Linked DNA regions of Nothobranchius furzeri. The protein of the gene in region 1 purifies or fractionates together with the protein of each later gene. This does not show direct contact. Links are inferred from orthologs where the notes say so. Each region holds a gene or a part of one and is shown on either strand. Other genes may lie near its edges. The genes, in order: tnfrsfa and CASP8 and FADD-like apoptosis regulator.

Region 1 (3,558 bases):
TCGGCTGTGCTGAAGAGAAAGGTACAGAACCAAAATATTTAATTAATTAGCTGCACGTTCTCCTGTCCTCTATCATCCGACACACACACACACACACACACACACACACACACACACACACACACACACACACACACACACACACACACACACACACACACACACACACACACACACACACACACACACACGGGACTGTCTCAGCTGTTATTTTCGTTAAGGAGTGTTCACGTAAAGCATGCGCACCTCATGCACGAGCCTACTATTGAAGCTGCCGTTACGCTTTTGGCCTGAGGGGGCAAACGCGAGCATTAAAATTCAAAAGTCTGTAAAGTTCCTTTAAATATTATCTGTGTAAAATATGACGACTACATCAATTTAAGTTAGGCCACTTGTGCCAAGCAAACTTCATATTATATGAAATAATATGTGGACACTTTGGGTGAGAAGAGTGGCTGAGGAGCATGATGTACAGTATGTGCATGGTAAGGCCGCACTATATTAGGAAAACCTGCGATATACGATAACAGTGATTAATATTGCGATGACGATATTACTTGCGATAAATAAAAACTTAACTCAAGAACAAAAATAATCAAAAACAAAGAAATTAAAAAATGACAAAGTCATACAAATGAGAAAAGCAAAAAATGTGTGGAAAGGGAAAAAGAAAATGAACAAGAAAAGGCAATCAGTGGATCCCGGGAAAAGCAGAATCAGCAGAAAGATCAGAACAAAGCTAACTCAGGTGTTTGCTAACCATCAAAATTAGATGCCGTCCACCTCGGGGGCGGGCATCTGACCTATGAGAACCCACCCAATTGGCCAAATGGGTGAAGAACTCTATTTGATTGGTTAAAAAAACATCATGCTTTCATTTGATGGACAGAATGCATTTCGTGTAGCAAATATTTGAGCTGACCATTCATTGCGATTATTATCTGTTGTTTTCGATGCATATTGTGCATGCTGATATCGCGACAACGATATGTTTGCGATATATTGTGCAGCCCTAGTGCATGGTATCAAAATGAGTAAAAAACCAATACTGATCATCACCGGCGGTGATAATATGAGACATCCCTAATAATATTAGATAAAAATAGAAACTCTGATCTTTTTAATTAACATTATTTTTCAAAATAATTAAGAATTTTTTCTGAATAAATGAGATAATTTAAACTAAATGGATAAATGTATCACTGCAGTGTTTTATAGAGATGATGTTCTGTGGTTGTAGGCTTTACTAACTGGCTAAGTAGGATGAACTCCATGACTAAAGCCCCATCAGATCTTCTAGCCAAAGCAAAACTTTCCCGTATCATGTTATCGATGCCAGGACACGAGAATCGTTGAGCGATACTCGTGGAACAGAACATTTTTTCCTCCTTGCCCTAACAGTTTTTATTCAGAAAAACAGTTTTCTTTTTTCTTCAAGTGAACGCACTACACCTCTGTAAAAAAAAAAAAAAAAGGGGGGGGGGGTTTAATTGTGCAAAAAAAAATCAGTAGAAAGTCAGTTTGGACACTTAATAACAGGTGTTCTGTGGAGGTGGAGTGTTTATTTGTTTATTTGGATCACACCTGAACAGACTGCTGTTGGTTTTAAAGACTTTGGTTTCATGTAGAGTATGTGTGTTCTTCGTGTGCATGCGTGGAGTTTCTCTGGGTACATCGGTTTCCTCCCACAGACCAAAAAAAATGCTTGTCTGATTAGTGGGAGACTGAATTGTCCCTAGGAGTGTGTGTGTGTGTGTGTGTGTGTGTGTGTGTGTGCGCGCGTGTGCGTGTGCGTGTGTGTTGTCCCTGTGATGGACTGGAGACCTGTCCCCCAACACCAGTTCCCCACGACCCCAAACGTTTAGCAAGATGTTAGAATTCAGATATTTGAAATAAGTTGTCAGGTTTGTGTTTTCATGGTTTTCCCACCTCTCCACAGATGAGATTGAAACCAAGTCCTGCACCACCACTACAGACACCAGGTGCCAGTGCAAACCAGGTACCTTCTGTGTTCCAGACCAGGCCTGCGAAGTCTGCAAGCGTTGTGCCAAGTGAGTCTTGTTTGATGATTTTACTTCCACCCTGCTGGCATGCCAGACTAGACCAGATTAGGTAACTAGACTAGACTAAACTAGATCAGACCAGACCAGGCTAGACCAGATCAGATGAGACTAGACTAGACTGGACTACATTACACTAGATCAGATCAGACTACACTAGACCAGATCAAACTAGATCAGACTAGTCTAGAACAGACCAGATCAGATGAGACCAAACTAGACCAGACCAGACTAGACCAGATCAGATGAGACTAGACTAGACTGGACTACATTACACTAGATCAGATCAGACTACACTAGACCAGATCAAACTAGATCAGACTAGTCTAGAACAGACCAGATCAGATGAGACTAGACTAGATTACACTAGATCAGATCAGACCAGATCAGGCTAGATTAGGCTAGACCAGACCAGACCCAGCCTATAGAGACTTGTTCACCACTCAGAGCCATAGTGTGCATCAGGGACTGACTACAGTAATGACCCCTGGGCCTGTTGCTTGGTGGAGTTGATGCATTATTATTGATCTCCCCAAAAACTGTTTATAGGTGTAAATCAGGTGAGGAGGTGGTGAAGAACTGCACGCCTGTTTCCAACACGGTTTGCCGAACACGGGGTCCGTCTCCCACTGAAAGCGCCACGGATCGTACCCCGCCGACTTCTACCTCTCCAACTAATCACGGTATTTTTCACACAGCCTGTTAGTCGGCTTTAAGAGCCACTCTAGCTGAAACCTGTCTAGGCTTTTTCACTGATTTTGTGTGTTATTTCTTTCAGTCATCACAATATTTGTCATCCTGATCATTGTCATCTTCATCGCCGTCGTTGCGTGGGCCTTGTGGTGGTTTGTAATCAAGCAGCGTTCGTGTGAACTTCCATGTGAGTTAGCATCACTTACTGATGACTGGGAGTTGTTTTCACTGGTTCTGTGTGTTCATGCTTAAGGCTGTTTCCCTGCTTTCAGCAGGGTCCAAGAACCACTGTGACTCCAGTGAAATTGTCAAGATTCCCATTGTAAGTCGTCTAATCAGTCTTGACTAGTGTAGATGATGTTTAGGACAATGTGTGACTAGTTTACCTCGTTCGCCCCTCTGCTGGTTAGGACGAGAGTGGAGCCACAGCCGAGGAGAGACAGAATGATCAAAACGCCGGCCTGGAGGGCGAAGAGCCGCGCCCAGAGTCCCGGCCGCTGCTGCAGGAGACTCAGGCCGGGATGACCAAGGCCTGCCCTCCCCTCGAGGATGAGGACAGGGGACTTGGAGACAGTTTACCCAACACTACTAGTTCATCTCAGACGAGTCTATCAGCGCTGCCCACCGCAGCGTTCTCTGAGAACACCCCGCACCACAGCCCTGCGGCGGTCAGACTTCAGCCTGCAGACACGGTGAGGAAAAGCATCAGAACAAACTCTGATCTTTAAAGCAGCTGATGTTTGTTCATCTTATGTTTACATTTTGTCCTCGTGCTACAGGTTGACCCTCTACGACATCGCCTGCT
Region 2 (2,645 bases), on another chromosome or scaffold:
AAAACTCATACGTAATTCCTGAAAGGGGGAACACTCCAGATTGCTGCTTTAATGCCTATGCAGTAATTTGGTTTTGTGATTTGCATTTTTGTGGAAAACTGAATTAAGGAATTAAATTTATTCTACAGGGCTAATTTTCTTATTGTACAAGTGGCTTGAGTGACTACAATTAGGATAAATATTTCAGTTTAAAATATGATTTTTAGTGAATAAGAAGTTATCGTACCGTAAAATGTAGCCCAACAATCCTTGAGATGTGGTGCAGGAAAAGTGAAAATACTCAGATGAAGGGAAAAAATACATGTGTACTGCAAAGTCACTCACTTATTCTCTAATTATTTATGTCGTCTTTCTCTTTCAGAAATGTTAGAACAGACGTTCAAGGCTCTTCACTTCAACGTTTCCCTCTACCTTTTCTTGACTTCTGATCTCATCCTTTTATCTCTCAGAGAAATATTGAGACCGACAGAAAACCACATAGGAGATGCTTTTGTCTGTTGCATCATCAGCCGTGGTTCTACCCACCGCCTTTTGGGTACAGATGAGTATGGTGGCGGTTTTGCTATAGATTGCATCAGAAATCTTTTCACGGGTGACGCTTGTCCCATGCTGGCTGGGAAGCCAAAGCTGTTCTTTATCCAGAGGTACAACGTTGTAGAGTCTAATTTGAACTACGTGGCCGAGAGCGTGGAGGTCGATGGCTTTAATAGACAGCCAGCGAGTGGTTCCATTCCCAAAGAAGCAGATATATTCTGGAGTCACTGCTGGACAGATGAACGTCAGCTGCTGCAAAGGAAACATCACTCTGTCTACCTAAAGGCGCTGACTGATGCCTTACACGACGCCCAAAGAAGGTAGAAGCAAACATTAAATTTAATATCGTCTTCTGTTCGTCTAAATGTTTCTCGTTTTCTCTCCCCTGTTCTGACAGGAAACTGAATCTTGTTGACGTTCAAATGAGGGTGAATGGAGCCATTTTTGAGCATAATAGAAGAAATCCTGGAGCAGCTTATAGCATCGACGTAAAACACACTTTAAGGAAGAATCTATATCTGGATTAGAAATGCTAAAGTGGAAGTTACTTCAACTGAACTCCCTCAACCAATTTCACATGGATTCAAGCGTTTCATTTGTGCACACTGCCACCTAGCGGCTGAAGAAGAAATATTTAAATACTAAACATATTTTTCTCTCTTTATTTTATACATTTTTCTATAAAACCTTGTCCCCCCCCCCCCCCCCAATCCATATTCAGAACCTCAACATTTTAACCAGAGACTCAATGAAGATGGAAAACTAGAACCAAACAGAATAGAAGCAGAACATTTATTTAAATATAAAGTAAAACTAAATAAAAGTGTATTTGCTTCCGTCACTACTCATTCTGTATACCTGAGACACTATTTAGTTCTTTATATTTCAACTTTTTTATAACAGATGCAAGTAAACTATTGAGAGACTTCATGATACAGACGTCTGAAAAAGAGCAACATAGAGTATTGTTAGTCCTGGAAACTCAAGACTTACAGTTAAACTAACATTGGAAGGCAGCTCACTATATAAATTTACATTTTTTTATTATCTCAGATCTCAGTAAAAAATGAGTCTTGAAGTTTACTGTAATAAAATATAGTCTAAAGACGCGACGAGGAGCTTTTCTTCATCGTCATGAAGTTGAATGTTTCTTTCTGCTTCTCTTTAAATGTGAATTTAAATTTATATAATTATGCTAGCTTATAAATGTCAAATGCTGACCTTAATATATTTAGTTGAAAATGTATTTTTATTCATAGCTTTAATAGAATGTTAATTGTACTTTTTATTACATTTCATGTATTCATCATAATGTACAATAAAGTTTTAACTTACCATCCTTCCGTTTTTAAGGTTTTGTGTGGGGCCAAGTGATCATTTTGCATCTACCAAATCAAAATTGAAAAAGAACATCAGTAAGACACTGAGTGAATAGTCATGTTAATTTGAATGTATTAGTGCTGAAATACTTAATGTTTTATTCAAATTTTGCTGCTACAGCCACTTACTATGGAAGATTGTGGGAGAAAATATGTTATATTTACATTGCATGAATATTTGTCTGTTTCTTATCTAAAGCACAAACTATCACAACATTGCAATTCAGTAAAAAGCAAAATCAAAAATTCTACTTAACCTTATATCACTATTAATTAAGCAATGTAAATTTTTTCCCCAGTGTTGCTATTTGCTGTTCATTTATTTAAATGTTTTGGAAAAAGGCATTTTAATTTTTTTATAAACTATTTTGTTGTATATGTTTGTCGTTGGTTGTTTTGTACCACTCTGCTCCCAAATCACTATTAAGCGGACCTTGATTTGATCTGAGTTGGGTCTTGGGTTGGGGTGACGGGGGTGGCACATAAATGGTTCCGCTTCTGCCCATCCAACCGATCCATCTCTGTCCAGAATGTTGACTGCATCCTCCTGTCTCCCACTGCATTGGGGGGGGGGGGGGGGGTGCCACAAGGTTCCGTTCTCGGGACATTGTTGTTTTCTATCTACCTTCTGCTTCTGGGCAAAATCCTGAATCAGCACAGCCTGAGCTATCACATTTACGCTGATGACTGCCAATTATATGTAGCAATGGATGAGGAGAATGCGGGCTCACG

The links.
Region 2: the proteins of tnfrsfa (region 1) and CASP8 and FADD-like apoptosis regulator purify together in Homo sapiens (affinity purification with western blotting; 5 studies listed by BioGRID and IntAct, with this or other methods). This does not show direct contact. The link is inferred for Nothobranchius furzeri from reciprocal best matches to the Homo sapiens genes TNFRSF10A and CFLAR.

Annotation. Positions count from the first base shown.
Region 1 is NC_091746.1:65,398,726-65,402,283, reverse strand, and holds part of tnfrsfa (tumor necrosis factor receptor superfamily, member a), read left to right. Parts: intron 1-1,939; coding exon 1,940-2,051; intron 2,052-2,609; coding exon 2,610-2,743; intron 2,744-2,838; coding exon 2,839-2,940; intron 2,941-3,025; coding exon 3,026-3,075; intron 3,076-3,163; coding exon 3,164-3,445; intron 3,446-3,532; coding exon 3,533-3,558. UniProt on the Homo sapiens protein: Receptor for the cytotoxic ligand TNFSF10/TRAIL. The adapter molecule FADD recruits caspase-8 to the activated receptor.
Region 2 is NC_091754.1:17,630,400-17,633,044, reverse strand, and holds the end of CASP8 and FADD-like apoptosis regulator, read left to right. Parts: intron 1-361; coding exon 362-854; intron 855-931; coding exon 932-1,061; 3' UTR 1,062-1,869; downstream 1,870-2,645. UniProt on the Homo sapiens protein: Apoptosis regulator protein which may function as a crucial link between cell survival and cell death pathways in mammalian cells. Acts as an inhibitor of TNFRSF6 mediated apoptosis.